Saccharomyces cerevisiae S288C: one gene and its partners. The gene in region 2 interacts genetically with the main gene of each other region. Each region holds a gene or a part of one and is shown on either strand. Other genes may lie near its edges.

The links.
Region 1: of INP52 (region 2) and ARF3, extra expression of one rescues a mutant of the other (dosage rescue), as found in Saccharomyces cerevisiae (one study listed by BioGRID).
Region 3: mutations in INP52 (region 2) and ATO3 together harm fitness more than expected from each alone (negative genetic interaction), as found in Saccharomyces cerevisiae (2 studies listed by BioGRID).
Region 4: of INP52 (region 2) and AZF1, extra expression of one rescues a mutant of the other (dosage rescue), as found in Saccharomyces cerevisiae (one study listed by BioGRID).

Annotation. Positions count from the first base shown.
Region 1 is NC_001147.6:501,049-503,887, reverse strand, and holds ARF3 (Arf family GTPase ARF3), read right to left. Parts: upstream 1,094-2,839; coding exon 542-1,093; downstream 1-541. Other genes in the region: ribose-5-phosphate isomerase RKI1, read left to right, coding at 1-336; CMR2 (Cmr2p), read left to right, coding at 1,436-2,839. UniProt on the Saccharomyces cerevisiae protein: GTP-binding protein involved in protein trafficking; may modulate vesicle budding and uncoating within the Golgi apparatus.
Region 2 is NC_001146.8:420,444-426,107, reverse strand, and holds INP52 (phosphatidylinositol-3-/phosphoinositide 5-phosphatase INP52), read left to right. Parts: upstream 1-1,612; coding exon 1,613-5,164; downstream 5,165-5,664. Other genes in the region: 2-isopropylmalate synthase LEU4, read left to right, coding at 1-1,213; YEATS domain-containing protein YAF9, read right to left, coding at 5,330-5,664. UniProt on the Saccharomyces cerevisiae protein: Dephosphorylates a number of phosphatidylinositols (PIs) like phosphatidylinositol 4,5-bisphosphate (PtdIns(4,5)P2), but also phosphatidylinositol 3-phosphate (PtdIns(3)P), phosphatidylinositol 4-phosphate (PtdIns(4)P), and phosphatidylinositol 3,5-bisphosphate (PtdIns(3,5)P2).
Region 3 is NC_001136.10:1,240,639-1,243,842, forward strand, and holds ATO3 (putative ammonium permease ATO3), read right to left. Parts: upstream 1,394-3,204; coding exon 566-1,393; downstream 1-565. Other genes in the region: NKP1 (Nkp1p), read right to left, coding at 1-38; EFT2 (elongation factor 2), read left to right, coding at 2,592-3,204. UniProt on the Saccharomyces cerevisiae protein: Transporter protein required for ammonia export. Induced in rho(0) cells, probably to eliminate the excess ammonia that arises because of a potential defect in ammonia assimilation in those cells.
Region 4 is NC_001147.6:532,453-537,319, forward strand, and holds AZF1 (Azf1p), read left to right. Parts: upstream 1-1,622; coding exon 1,623-4,367; downstream 4,368-4,867. Other genes in the region: COPI-interacting protein CEX1, read left to right, coding at 1-1,341. UniProt on the Saccharomyces cerevisiae protein: Transcription factor involved in the diauxic shift. In the presence of glucose, activates carbon and energy metabolism genes, and in te presence of glycerol-lactate, activates genes needed for cell wall maintenance.

The DNA of each region.
Region 1 (2,839 bases), on a different chromosome or scaffold from region 2:
AAGTCACCAAAACATTTAGGTAAGAACTGGAGGCAAGGTGTTCCCATTGAAATTGTACCTTCCTCATACGTGAGGGTCAAGAATGATCTATTAGAACAATTGCATGCTGAAAAAGTTGACATCAGACAAGGAGGTTCTGCTAAAGCAGGTCCTGTTGTAACTGACAATAATAACTTCATTATCGATGCGGATTTCGGTGAAATTTCCGATCCAAGAAAATTGCATAGAGAAATCAAACTGTTAGTGGGCGTGGTGGAAACAGGTTTATTCATCGACAACGCTTCAAAAGCCTACTTCGGTAATTCTGACGGTAGTGTTGAAGTTACCGAAAAGTGAGCAGATCAAAGGCAAAGACAGAAACCGTAGTAAAGGTTGACTTTTCACAACAGTGTCTCCATTTTTTATATTGTATTATTAAAGCTATTTAGTTATTTGGATACTGTTTTTTTTCCAGAAGTTTTCTTTTTAGTAAAGTACAATCCAGTAAAAATGAAGGATGAACAATCGGTGTATGCAGATTCAACACCAATAAATGCAATGTTTATTTCTTTGGAACGTTTGTGTTGTTCGAAATCCAGGATAATCCTTCAACAAGACCCTGTCCGGATAAGGCGTTACTACCGATGACACACCAAGGTTGGTTTTTCAAATTTTTCTCCAGTTCTAAAAAATCGGAAACCTCTTGAGGTTTCATTGCATCTTTCAAATCTTGTTTGTTTGCCCATACCAGCAGTACTACATTCTCCATCTCTTTCTCACCTATGATACTATATAACTCTTCTTTGGCCTCTTCCATACGGTTTCTAGCACTAGAATCTATCACAAAGATAAGTGCGGTGGTGGCTGGAAAATAATGTCTCCAGAGAGGTCTCAATCTTTGTTGTCCTCCTACATCCCACATGTTGAATTTTACGTTTTTATAAGTAACGGTTTCCACGTTAAAACCGACAGTGGGAGTAGACGTCTTTATTTTATTTAATTTTAGTTTGTACAATATTGTTGTCTTACCAGCCTTATCCAGGCCTAGCATCAAAATTTTCATTTCTTTCGAGCCAAATAGTTTTCCCAGAACCTTCGAAATTGAATTGCCCATCTCTACAATTAGCTTGTCTTTTCCTTTTTTCCGTTCTAAATCCCAATTATCTTCCCAATGTCAAAGCAACTGTAATGTCTCAGTCTAATTCAGCGTACGTTGCGTCTTACTATGCTTCTGCAAATAGGGTTTTAATGCTGCGTACATCTTCATTATCTTATAAGTGCCATCATTCGGACGGGTAATGGATGAAATCGTCAAAACCCGATTACTTTCTAGTATGTTTTATTTCTGTTTATAATGTAGTCAAAAGAGCTTCAACAGATTTAACATTTGCTTCCGTAAACTTGGTGTTAGGGTGATTCAGTTCTGTGTAAAAGCGTGTGGCATTGAGTTACTCCAATGGATTTTTCTATTCCTCCTACCTTACCTCTAGATCTGCAAAGTCGGTTAAATGAGTTAATTCAAGACTATAAGGATGAAAATCTAACAAGAAAGGGTTATGAGACCAAAAGAAAACAATTGCTAGACAAATTTGAAATCTCCCAAATGAGGCCTTATACCCCGCTTCGATCTCCCAATTCGAGAAAGTCGAAACATTTGCACAGAAGAAATACAAGTCTTGCATCATCCATTACGTCGTTACCTAATTCAATTGACAGACGTCATTCTATCTATCGTGTCACAACTATAAACTCGACTTCTGCGAACAATACTCCCAGAAGGCGGAGCAAGAGATATACAGCTTCTTTGCAATCGTCATTGCCAGGTTCCAGTGATGAAAACGGTTCAGTGAAGGATGCCGTTTATAATCCTATGATACCATTACTACCAAGACACACTGGAGCCGAAAATACTAGCAGTGGAGACTCAGCAATGACGGATTCTTTACCGCTAATTTTACGGGGACGCTTTGAACATTATGATGGTCAAACAGCGATGATCAGCATAAATTCTAAAGGCAAAGAAACGTTCATCACATGGGATAAACTTTATTTGAAAGCGGAGAGGGTAGCACATGAATTGAATAAGAGTCACCTTTACAAAATGGATAAGATTTTACTATGGTACAATAAAAATGATGTCATCGAATTTACTATTGCATTATTAGGCTGTTTCATATCCGGCATGGCAGCTGTACCAGTCTCATTCGAAACGTATTCTCTGCGTGAGATCCTTGAGATAATTAAAGTAACAAATTCGAAATTTGTTCTGATTTCTAACGCATGTCATAGACAATTAGATAACTTGTATTCGTCATCAAATCATTCAAAAGTTAAACTGGTTAAGAACGATGTTTTCCAGCAAATCAAATTTGTCAAGACTGATGACTTAGGGACGTACACAAAGGCAAAAAAAACTTCGCCTACCTTTGATATACCGAATATTTCATATATAGAGTTTACTAGAACACCGCTAGGTCGTCTTTCTGGCGTCGTCATGAAGCATAACATCTTAATAAACCAATTTGAAACGATGACAAAAATTCTAAACTCACGATCAATGCCTCACTGGAAACAAAAATCACAAAGCATCAGGAAGCCATTTCACAAAAAAATTATGGCAACCAACTCAAGGTTTGTTATCTTGAATAGTCTGGACCCTACTAGATCTACTGGTTTGATAATGGGTGTGCTTTTCAATCTTTTTACTGGTAATCTTATGATATCTATCGATAGTAGTATATTACAACGACCTGGGGGCTATGAAAATATCATTGATAAATTTAGAGCCGACATTTTACTGAATGATCAGCTACAATTGAAGCAGGTAGTTATTAATTATTTGGAAAATCCCGAATCAGCT
Region 2 (5,664 bases):
ATTTGCTGTAGAAATTTGCGAAGCTGTTAAGAAGGCTTGGGAACCTACCGAGGAAAATCCAATCATTTTCAACTTACCTGCTACCGTAGAAGTTGCCTCTCCAAATGTTTATGCTGATCAGATTGAATACTTCGCTACCCATATTACTGAGCGTGAGAAGGTTTGCATCTCTACACATTGTCACAATGACCGTGGTTGCGGTGTCGCCGCCACAGAGTTAGGTATGCTTGCAGGTGCCGACCGTGTAGAAGGATGTCTCTTTGGTAATGGTGAACGTACAGGTAATGTGGACTTGGTTACTGTTGCTATGAATATGTATACCCAAGGTGTTTCTCCTAATTTGGATTTCTCTGACTTGACCTCTGTCCTAGATGTGGTTGAGCGTTGTAATAAGATCCCAGTATCGCAAAGAGCACCATACGGCGGTGACTTGGTCGTTTGTGCCTTTTCCGGTTCTCACCAAGACGCCATTAAGAAGGGTTTCAACTTACAAAACAAGAAGCGTGCTCAAGGTGAAACTCAATGGAGAATCCCATACTTGCCATTGGATCCAAAGGACATTGGCCGTGATTACGAAGCTGTCATCAGAGTCAACTCTCAGTCTGGTAAAGGTGGTGCCGCTTGGGTTATTTTGAGATCTTTGGGTTTGGATCTACCAAGAAACATGCAAATCGAATTTTCTAGCGCCGTTCAAGACCATGCTGACTCCTTGGGTAGAGAACTAAAATCAGATGAGATTTCCAAGTTATTCAAAGAGGCTTACAACTACAATGACGAACAGTACCAAGCTATTAGTTTAGTCAATTATAATGTTGAAAAATTCGGCACTGAACGTAGAGTGTTCACTGGTCAAGTCAAAGTAGGCGACCAGATCGTCGATATTGAAGGTACAGGTAATGGTCCAATCTCTTCTTTGGTCGACGCCCTATCAAACTTGTTGAACGTGAGATTTGCCGTAGCAAACTACACAGAGCATTCTCTAGGTTCTGGTTCTTCTACGCAAGCTGCTTCTTACATCCATCTATCGTATAGGCGTAATGCCGACAACGAAAAGGCCTACAAATGGGGTGTAGGTGTCTCCGAAGATGTCGGTGATTCTTCAGTGAGAGCCATCTTTGCCACCATTAACAATATTATCCATTCTGGTGATGTGTCCATTCCATCTTTGGCCGAGGTCGAAGGTAAGAATGCTGCGGCATCTGGCTCTGCATAAGAACTTTTCTGTATTTCAGGACTTATTCGCTTCTATTTATTTCTATACTTATTTATTTACTTCCTTTCCTTTTTTTTTAACCATATAATTACTAGAAGCACGGATGTCTAAATTAGAATTACGTTTTAATATCTTTTTTTCCATATCTAGGGCTAGTGCTTGTTTTTCTTTTTTTAGTATATTCTTGAACCAAATACGTGTGGGGTGACCCGAAACTTGTTTGGCGGTTAGTGACGAAATTGAAACAAACCTGGAGTTATTAAGAGAGATTTAACTGGAAAACTAGGCATAAAGGACAATAAGTACTCGCTTCATATAGTCTCAACATATTTTTGTTCGCAGAATTGGTGACAAAGGCCACGCAAAGGCAGCAGAATCAAAAACAAATACTCAGTAGCTATGAAAATACTCCTATCGAAACAGCAAACTAGAAAGATAGCAATAGTTTCAGAAACACATGGACTGGTATTTAGGCCAATAAACAGTAAGAACTCTCGCAGATCTACATGTGCCGTGGAATTGGTTCCGAAAGCTGAATTAAATGGTAATGGTTTCAGAAGACTATCTAACCATGAAATATACGGTTTTATTGGTCTCATAGAAATTGAAGGCCTTATGTTCATAGCAACCATAACAGGTAAATCTAAGGTGGCCCAGCCGATCCCAAACAAAACGGTTAACAAAATATATGCTGTGGATTTTTTTTGCTTAAATAATTCTAAATGGGATTTCATGGACATCGATTCATCCGGTTATCCGATTGTTACTAATGATGGAGATTTTGCAATAAGCTCGCCTCCTAGTATTTCCACACATTCTTCTAGATCATCGCTACGTTCTTCTTCCTCTAGGAGTTTGAATGCTCAAGAACAAGCTCCCAAGCATCCATGTCATGAACTAAGAAAGCTATTATCAAATGGATCTTTTTATTACAGCACCGATTTTGATTTAACTTGTACATTGCAGAAACGTGGATTCACGGAACACTCTTTGAGTTTTGATGATTTTGACCGGGAGTTTATGTGGAACTCGTTTCTTATGGACGAAATCATCACATACAGAGACAGACTAGATGTAACGGCCAAAGAACTATTGGATCAACGAGGATTCCTCACGACCGTAATCCGAGGGTTTGCTGAAACAATTTTTAGCTATATTAATAGGTTGAAAGTAGGACTTACCATTATTTCCAGGCAAAGTTGGAAAAGAGCAGGCACAAGGTTTAATGCACGTGGTATAGATGATGATGGCCATGTCGCAAATTTTGTTGAAACAGAAATGATTATGTACTCTTCTCAGTATTGTTATGCTTTCACGCAGATAAGAGGAAGCCTTCCAATTTTTTGGGAGCAGGATACATCTTTGATTAGTCCAAAGATTCAAATTACCAGATCTGTTGAAGCAACACAGCCCACGTTTGATGAACATTTTATAAGACTATTTAAGAAGTATGGGCCAGTTCATATAATCAACCTGCTGTCTACTAAATCTTCAGAAATTCAATTATCGAGGCGATACAAGGAACAGTTGAAAAATTCTGAGAAAATGAAAATCGGTAGAGATGTGTTCCTAACAAGCTTTGATTTCCATAGAGAAACTTCGCAAGATGGGTTTGCAGCTGCAAGTAGGATTATCCCTAAAATAAGAAACACAATTTTGGACGCCGGTTACTTTTCATACGATGTAAAAGAAGGGCGATTAATATCCGAACAAGACGGTGTCTTTAGAACCAATTGCTTGGATTGTTTAGATAGAACAAATTTGATCCAACAGACGATTTCACTGGCCGTTTTCAAACTATTTTTGGAAGACTTCCGATTGGTAAAACCCAGTAGTTTCATCGACGATAATGAATTTGTGCAAAAGGTGAATGCTTTATGGGCCGACAACGGAGATCAGATATCACAAATTTACACTGGGACAAATGCTCTGAAATCGTCCTATTCAAGGAAAGGTAAAATGTCTTTTTCTGGCGCCCTTTCTGATGCGACGAAGTCCGTTAGTAGAATGTACATCAACAATTTTGTAGATAAAGGAAAACAGCAAAATATTGACACACTTTTGGGCAAACTACCGCACCAGCAAGTTGTTGAACTTTATGATCCAATCTGCGAATACGTCAATGAAAGGCTGTTAGAGTCAGAGGAAAAATTCACCACTCATTCTAACATAAATTTGTTTGTCGGTACATTCAATGTTAACGGAAACTCTCGAAGAGCAGATTTGTCAAAATGGTTATTTCCAATCGGCGATAAATTCAAACCTGATGTCGTTGTGTTAGGGTTGCAGGAAGTTATAGAGTTGACCGCAGGGTCTATCTTGAATGCAGATTATACGAAAAGTTCTTTTTGGGAAACTATGGTTACTGACTGTTTGAATCAATACGAAGAAAAATATCTTTTACTTAGAGTGGAACAGATGTCCTCTCTTTTGATACTATTTTTTGCAAGATCAGATAGAGCCTATAACATAAAAGAGGTAGGTGGGTCTACCAAAAAGACTGGGTTTGGTGGTATTACTGGAAACAAAGGTGCAGTAGCCATTAGATTCGATTATGGGGCAACTTCATTCTGTTTCGTTAATACACATTTATCAGCAGGTGCGAGTAACATTGACGAACGTCGCAATGACTACAACAATATCTACAGGAACATAACCTTTCCAAGATCAAAGACAATTCCACACCATGATTCGTTGTTTTGGTTGGGTGACCTTAACTACAGGATAACTTTGACAAATGATGAAGTTAGAAGAGAATTAAGGGCTCAAAAGGATGGCTATATTGATAGATTGCTTCAATATGATCAGTTGACTCAAGAAATAAATGAAGGAGTGGTATTTCAGGGCTTTAAAGAACCGACCCTCCAATTCCGTCCGACCTATAAATATGATTATGGCACAGATAATTATGATACTTCTGAAAAGGCGAGAACTCCGTCTTGGACTGATAGAATCATATATAAAGGTGAAAACCTGCATCCATTGGCATATTCGGACGCACCTTTAAAAATAAGCGATCATAAACCAGTTTATGCTGCATATAGGGCAAATGTGAAATTTGTTGACGAAAAAGAGAAGCTTAACCTAGTTGAGAAGCTGTATGCAGAATATAAGAATACGCATCCCGAAGCACTAACTACAGGTCCTGACGAACTTTCTCATGCAAGAATGGAAAAACAAAAGGAAAGTATACCCTTAGATGCAACCGTTCAATCAGCGGGCATAAAACTAATTGACCTAGATGATACTTCCTCGTGCGTTTCGCCTCTACTTTCTGGTCCCAGTCCCCAACCGTCTGTTGTTGGCCCTGGAGGACTCAGTAACGTATCACCCGATAAAAGTAAGCTCAATGTGCTTCCTCCGCCTCCTCCTACCTCGAGGCACAATAAGGAACCATCTTCTAAACTTCTTTCCCCTACCAAAGAGATTTCCATTGTCAGCGTATCGCCGCGTAAAGGTGAGAGCAATCTTCCTGCCTTAGAGAGACACAGTACACCCAAACCACTGCCGCCAGTGCCCGCTTTATCTTTATCTAAGCCAGTCTCTTTACAGAAAAGTTCTTCAGAATTACAGCATGCTAAAGAGACCATAGATAATGGGAAAATTGTTCCTCGACCTTGTCCTCCTATTAGAAGGAAGAGCAGTACTGCCCCGGACGAAATCTCTACATCTACCAAAAATTCAGGTGTGTCCACTACAGAAGATCCTGAGCCAGCAAAGGCCTCCACAAAACCTGAGAAGCCACCAGTTGTCAAAAAACCGCATTATTTAAGTGTTGCTGCTAACAAGCTTAACACCTCTCAAGAACACTCAATAAAAGTTTCCCCGTCGAATTCAAAATCTGAAGAGGAACTCCCTTGCAAGAAAAAGTCTAAACCAAAAGTTCCTGCGAAGAACCCTGAACTAGAGAAGCTAAGCGTTCATCCATTGAAGCCTTGCGACCCCAATTAAATTGTGTTACTAAAATTACGCATTTATAGAATATGTATCATAACTGTTGTTTAGATGTTTATATGACTCTGCACACATTTCGGTTTTGTGAGCGCCGACCTTTCAAACCATGATCTGTATTACTATGGCTGTTATGAAAATACCGTTGTTCCGGGTGCAGTGATCCTAACTTCCGTTAATGGCTTCTTGTTTTACCAAGTTTTCCAGTTTCTGCTTCAATTCGTCAATTTCCTTGTCAACCTTTTCTATGCCGATCTCTATTCTGTCAATTTCTTCCTGTTCTAATTGCTTGGAGTATACACAATCATCAGTTTTGTTTGAAGGTAACAAATTTCCTGGTCGGCTCATTAAAATTTTGAAAAACTCTTCATTTGGCTCATTGAATACAATTTCATCAAAATACACAGAACTAACTTCTGCATCTTTACTATTATGGTCTGTTGTATTCTGCTCATTTCCATTGTCGGAATTCGGTACAGGATTAGCATAAGGATGAAGTC
Region 3 (3,204 bases), on a different chromosome or scaffold from region 2:
TCTATAAAATTGGATATGCTATTATATGTGTCTGTCATCTTATTCCTACAATCTATTGTTGCTTTAGTTTCTGTGCACATTTACCAAAAATATTTCTTCGCATGTAGATTTACCTCTTTTCCCCTGTGACGCGTCATCGTTTTTATATCACCTTTGAACAAAGCAATATATCTGTACTCAAAAGGTACAAACGAAAGTTTTGTTCACGAGAAAGAGATATTTTACATGCGAATTAAATCTTGATTGCCTGAATTCTTCACTATTTTATGATTTTTCCCTTCCTTCTTGAAATTTGATTTATATTTAGTCCAAATATTACAGAAAAAAAAAAAAAAGATGCCTAAGCCTTGGGTCTTATTTCGAACAAATCCATCCATCGGTAACAATTCAAAAAAAGAATATTTCGTCTCGAACAATTTGCTAAGTATTGTGGGTAAATGATATATAAATTTTTATAAAAACTCTTGGCCAAGAAAAAAAAAAAAGACTATGTCTAAACGTAACGTTATCATTATTATTAAATCATTTTAATGTTTTATAAGTTTTGTTTTTCATTTCATACCCTTTAAGGAGCATTTGGCATTGTGTGCGCCCTGAAGGCTAAATAAGAATTTGAAGGACTCACCACAGAACAGTATAGCGAATACCAACCGCAGCAACTACTTAAAATTCCAAAATAGCCACCGGCCATTTTGAGATTGTTGTTGTCAATGAAGGTGCCGATACACAGTAGTAGGAAGGTAAGATCCAAAAACGTCAATAGTAAGAACAAACCCCACGTGCTCTTCAATGTACACATCAACATCAAGAAGGTGAAAACGGTCCAGCCCGCAAGGAAGAACCCAATGACATTGTTCAACATTGTGGGATCGGTATAGCCGCTGACCAAATTATCAGTATCTGTTAGCCCATAACCGTAGCAGATCCAGAACCCGCCGAAAGAACTGAACACAGTCATGGCGTATGTGTCCCCAATGACAAAACACAATAACCCGGCAAACAATTCAATGGCACCACCAAAAAACATAAACAAACTTAGCGCCCATTTACCATCAGTGACGCCGCGAACGTTCGCATTAATTAGCGACAGAACTAGACATGACAGAGAAAACGATGCGAGACCCAAAGGAACCGGATTAGCGAACTGGTGCGGAGTATACTTTGCACAGTTTCCTTCCTCCCCATCCCCTCTGTCTAGTGCATTGAGCAAATCTCTGCGCCTGTAGGTGGAGGATCCTAGAGTAATGAAGTCTCTGTCGGAGTATATCTCTTGAATATTAGGGAAGCCCTGCGAAACGCCTGCAATCGAACCCTGCTGGGGGAGCGTCTCAATATTTTCTAGAGTGTTCACACCCTTTTCCAAATCCTGTGGAGAAGAAGCAGACGATGTCATTTTAACCAGTATTTTTATTTTTTATTCTTACTAAATCTTTCTGGGAATGTATTCAGTTATATGTGACCCAACTGTTTATAAAACTGGGGGAATATTAGGCAATCAAGCGAAGCTCATCGATGAGTATTCAATTTGCTAAAAAGTTGTTTTATTTAAATATTCCTTCTGAGTCACGGTCATCGTGAATAGCGTTAAAATTCTCAAATCCATTGGTGTTTCCATTAGGCCCTGAGCGGTTCCCCAAGAAAAAAAAAAACAGTAGAAAAAAATGATGCTTCTTCCTAACGCTATTGTAGTGCAGGTTCTGCCGTGTGCCAAGTTGGAGCAGCGCCTGCTGAGACTCTTCCGTATGGTTCTTGCTCTTCTCAGGACCAGCGGCGGCAGTTCCGGTTTTTTTCGGCGTCTTTTGTCTGGCACACAATGGGCGATGGAGAGGGAAAACCGGAGGATATGCCAGCTGCGGTGAGATTATGGTTGGAGTTATGTTTGTAGCCGGCGGTGCGGCAATAGGAGAGGGGAGGGGAAGGGGAGGGGAAAAGGTAATGGCTGACGAAGTATAGAGATGGCAATCACAAGCCAAATATTGGAGATTACATGCAAGAATGCTACTGTTATACAAAAGGGTGAAAATTGAGACCCAAATTCCTTCCTTTTTTTTCTTTTTTTTTTACCAGAAGAATTACGTACAAAAGTACCTACTATTTCAAAGCAAGAAATGAGATGCCTATTGTGGTTATATACAGAATAGATGATAAATGGGTTTTCCGTGCAAAACGATATGGAGAATTCAAAATGGGTGCGAAATACCTGGAACGTAAGCGTTCTGAGAAATACACAGACGCATTAACCTGACAAAAACACAACTAGTTTGGGAAAGGGATTTGGTCTTTCCTCTCGGGTCTCTCGTGTGGTTCCTTTCTTTCTCAGATCTCCCTGCACACTGGGCTGTTGTCCTCCAGGTTATGGTTTGTTCTCTTCAGGTATTACAATGCAGTAGGCTTTTGGAGTGAGCAAAACGAAGAGAGAAAAAAATTTTTTCTTAAAAGTTTTTTTTCATTTTGTGAGCTTATTCTTCTTTTCTATATATTCTTGATATCTTAGATTATACATATTATTCTCTTACATTTCACGATTGCCCTTTTGGTGTTTAGCATTCAGACTCAAAGACCACAAACACAAACTATAACATAATTGCAAGATGGTTGCTTTCACTGTTGACCAAATGCGTTCTTTAATGGACAAAGTTACCAATGTGCGTAACATGTCCGTTATTGCTCACGTCGATCATGGTAAGTCCACTTTGACCGATTCCTTGGTCCAAAGAGCCGGTATTATTTCCGCTGCTAAGGCTGGTGAAGCTCGTTTCACCGATACCAGAAAGGATGAACAAGAAAGAGGTATCACTATCAAGTCTACCGCTATTTCTCTATACTCTGAAATGTCTGACGAAGATGTCAAGGAAATCAAGCAAAAGACCGACGGTAACTCCTTCTTGATCAACTTGATCGACTCTCCAGGTCACGTTGACTTCTCCTCTGAAGTTACTGCCGCTTTACGTGTCACTGACGGTGCTTTGGTTGTCGTCGACACCATTGAAGGTGTCTGTGTCCAAACCGAAACTGTTTTGAGACAAGCTTTGGGTGAGAGAATCAAGCCTGTTGTTGTTATCAACAAGGTCGACAGAGCTTTGTTGGAATTGCAAGTTTCTAAGGAAGATTTATACCAAACCTTTGCCAGAACTGTTGAATCCGTTAACGTCATCGTTTCCACCTACGCCGATGAAGTTTTGGGTGATGTCCAAGTTTACCCAG
Region 4 (4,867 bases), on a different chromosome or scaffold from region 2:
GGCATGAACTTCAACGCATCACATAAACTAGTACCATTCTTAGCGATTGTTTTAGACCTAACTTCTGAAACGAACACCTTTCCAGTTGGTTTCAACGACCTTATCACCCAAAGTTTTAAACTGCCAGATAGGCAAGTAAGATTTCTTTTACTAATATACCTACCCAAATTAATAGGTCCATTGAGCAAATCAGAGATCTCCAGTAGGATATATCCACATTTTATCCAAGGTCTGACCGACTCTGATGCCACTCTTAGATTACAAACACTGAAGACAATTCCATGCATTGTGTCATGTTTAACAGAGAGACAACTGAATAATGAGCTACTGAGGTTTCTCGCAAAAACACAGGTTGATTCTGACGTTGAAATCCGAACATGGACAGTCATCATAATAAGTAAAATCTCAACCATATTATCAACGTCAGTTGGTAATCGCTCGAATATTTTAGCTACGGCGTTCACAAAATCTTTGAAAGATCCTCAAGTAAAACCAAGATTGGCTGCTCTTTATGGGCTTGAGAAGTCGATTGAGCTGTTTGATGTGAACACAATCGCCAACAAAATTTTAACAGTCATTGCCCCTGGTTTATTAGATAAAAGTCCCATAGTAAGAGGCAGAGCCAAAATCCTGTTCGAAGAATATCTGGAAAAATTGGAAAAAGAAGCCCAACTTATTCAAACAAACGATAGTACTGCAGATTCGGAAGATGTGAAAGATATTGATTTTGAGAATTACGGTTGTGATGAAGAGGATATGAATAAAGAAGACAATTTGTTAGCCGCACAATTTTTAAATAATTTACGTTTAAATTCTCCCTCAGCAACAACACCAAGTAACATTACCGAGAGCGAAATTGATTCCGCCCAGGATGGAAGTGGATGGGACGACCTCAGCGATACCGATGGCTTTATTACAAATGGTACCACAGAATCCTTCGATGAAACAACAAACCCTGTAACAACCGCAAGCACCCCAAAATTATTCGGAAAACCTATTAAAATTAATAAAAGTTGGAATGATGAGTTGAATGATGATGGCTGGATTCAAGATGAAAGCGGCCCATCAAAGGTGCCTCAAAAACACACAAGGCCACAAAATTCAACGTTGGCAAAATCCATCGCTCCTAGCTCAAGGCTTTCTATCAAGAAGAAGAAAACAACGATCCTAGCACCAAGAAACATTGCTAGTAACTCTACTGTTACCACCAAATCGTCACTGTCCAATAAAACTGCAAGAAGTAAGCCTATAAGTAGTATCCGCGGCTCGGTAACCAAGAAAGGAAATGTTGACGGCTGGGATGATGATGGGGATTCAGACTCCTGGGATACGAATTGGTGATCCCAAGACTTATATAGCCCTACGTATTGTAGAAGGATATATTCAGTGTTAATCGTTATTTAGAAACATTACGCCCGTGCCCCGCGATTTCGCTTCTTTGAGAAGTGGAGGAAAAGAAGGGTCCCTTTAATTCCAGTAGAAATGAAGCATAAGCAAGAAGAGTCATCAGAAAAGGGAACCTTGTAGTACTATAGATGGTCCCACAGAGAAATTAATTGGGACAAAAACAGCTACACAAGCGATATACTTCAAAAGATTCAGATATTGAAAAATTACCAGCCATGCCTCCTCCAACTGCACAGTTCATGGGCCCTACGCAGGCGGGACAAAATGAAAGCCAAAATCAATCATCAGGCGAAGCTGGGGAGCAAAACCAGGAGCATGGGCAAGGCCCTACTCCTATTCTTAATCAAAGTCAACCGGCTTCTTCTCAACCGCAACATCAACAACAAAGGAATGAGTCGATTTCATATTATACAAATTTCAACCAGCCACGATATTCCACGGACGCCTCTATCAACTCATTCTTGAACATATCTGATAACGTACCAGTAACAAGTACAGGAGGACCTAGTTCTGGCGGCGCCTATTCCAATCTTCCACGATTATCCACTTCAAGTACACATCAACCGCCAGACCTGTCGCAAATCGGACGCGGCTTTTCCATTGTAAACAACCTCTTCCCACAACAACAGCAGCTTCAAAATCAGCATCGGCAACAGCAGCAACAACAACAACAGCAGTCGCACCAGCAGCCTCCCTTCAAGACCCCTTCATTTTCGACGGGATTAACGGGAAGTTCTTCTCAATATCAATTTTTACCAAGAAATGATAATACTTCGCAGCCACCTTCAAAAAGAAACTCTGTTTATCTTGGACCTAATGATGGGCCTGATTTTGAATTTTTCAGTATGCAGCAGTCACAGCAACCGCAGTTCCAGCCTAGCAGTAGAAGAGAATCAAACTCTATGAGACCTCCACTGTTAATACCTGCAGCAACTACTAAAAGCCAGTCCAATGGCACCAATAATAGTGGGAATATGAACACAAATGCAGATTATGAATCATTTTTTAATACTGGTACAAACAACAGTAATTCTAATCAGAACCCGTACTTTTTGAGTTCAAGAAATAATTCTTTGAAGTTTAATCCTGAAGATTTCGATTTTCAATTCAAAAGGCGGAATTCTTTTGTTAGAGGTACTTTGGACCATAGCAGCCAAAATGCGTTTATACCTGAATCAAGATTAAACTCACTATCCGTTAACAACAAAGCTAATGGTGATCCTGTCGCGGATAATGTTACCAATAACATGAAAGGAAAAAGTAATGAAGTTGACAATGATGATGGCAATGACAGTAGCAATAACAATAACAACAACAACAACAACAACAACAATGAAAACAACAATGACAACAATAATGATAATAACGACAATAGTATTAATTCCGCCACCAGTACTAATATCCCAAACCAAGAGGACCATAGCCTTGCTTCTACCGATACCACAAGCAATAGTAGGAAAGATCTAAAAGAAATAGAACAAAGACTTCGAAAACATTTGAATGATGAGGATAATTACTCTAGTGCTATATCAAGACCATTGGATAAAAACGACGTAATTGAAGGCAGTGAGGGATTGAACAAACATATAGACGAGTCTGGTATGCAACCTAATATTATCAAGAAAAGGAAAAAGGATGATTCTACTGTGTACGTCAAGAATGAGATGCCCCGTACTGATCCCCCGATGAGTAAAGACAATTCTACTTCTGCTGAAGGAGCAGCAATGGCAAACTTTTCTGGTAAAGAACCTCCTATACCTGACATAAGTTCAGTAAGTGATGATGCTACTAACCTGATAGGTGCAACAAAGGTCGACCAACTAATGTTGATTATTCAAGCAAGAAAGAAAGGTTTCACGGAGAAAGTAAATACCACTCAAGATGGAGACTTACTGTTTAACCAAACGATGGACATTTTACCACCTAAAAGCGAACTAGTAGGTGGTGTGGAGAAACCAAAAGGCACACAAAATACACGAGCAGTTAAAAAACATGAATGTCCCTATTGTCATCGGCTTTTTTCGCAAGCGACTCATCTGGAGGTTCACGTTCGTTCTCATATAGGGTACAAACCATTCGTTTGTGATTATTGTGGCAAACGTTTTACTCAGGGTGGGAACTTAAGAACTCATGAACGACTACACACAGGTGAAAAACCGTATTCATGTGATATTTGTGATAAAAAATTTTCTAGGAAAGGGAACTTAGCTGCTCACTTGGTTACTCACCAAAAATTGAAACCATTTGTTTGCAAGCTTGAAAACTGCAACAAGACCTTCACTCAACTAGGAAATATGAAGGCCCATCAAAATAGATTTCATAAGGAAACATTAAATGCCTTAACGGCAAAATTAGCTGAGATGAATCCATCTGAGAATATTCCACTTGAAGAGCGGCAACTTTTGGAGTACTTTGCGTCCATTTATAAAAATTCAAACAGGGGAATTAAAGGTAGAGGAAAAGGTGTAGGAACCAAAAAATCAACAATTTCCTCACCAGAAAACCATCCTGCGAGCACAATTTTGAATCCAAATACAAATGCAAATAATGCTATTGCTAATGATTCTGAAAATAACGGCAACCCTGAAGGTAACATTGACAGCAGTAGTAACAGCAATCCGGGCTCACATAGTATGATTTCGCCGACGCAAAAAGACATGGGTACGTTGCAATCACAATTTATCCAAAATAATTTTAACAATTCTGTGAACAGTTCGAATCCGTCCAACCAACCAATCATAAACTACAATTACACCACACTTCCTCATTCTAGATTAGGAAGTAGTAGTTCCAGCAATACCAACAATAATAACAGCAACTTTTCGGTAGGTGCAGCTCCGGGTGTATTAATGGCGCCAACCACCAATAATGACTTCAGTTTCAACTTGGATCAATCTAATGATAATGAAAGATCTCAACAAGAACAAGTGAGATTTAAGAACATTAATTACAAAAGCTAGCAGGCCTTAGAGGCACTACCTTTTTTTTTTTTTCGAGTTTCTACACCGTAGTATCTGATTTCATAGTGGTATTCGTCAAACTTAACCCACAAGTGTCACTTTTCCTTTCTTTTTTTCTTTTTCTTGAAGAACTGCATGGTTTTCTAGCTCTTTTTCACTTTTTTGAGGTTTTATTTATCTTGTATTCTTTTTTTCTATTATTTTAAAGGTTCAATTTCTATCGACGGTTTTTTTAATTATATATATATATATATATATATATGTATATAATGAATGTGTAATATTCCAAGTATACGTACCTTGGGTTTATATTTTTTAACTTGTATATTCTTTTACGATAAAATTTCTTCCAATTAACATCCCAGGCCTTGCTTCAATTTATCAATTGGTATATTAACTTTCAACACATTTTGTTTTTGTTTTTATTTTTGTTTTTTTTATTTTTTTTTTTTTTTCGCGTTTCGTGCTTTAATGAAACATGTGAAGTGTTTCGCAATGAC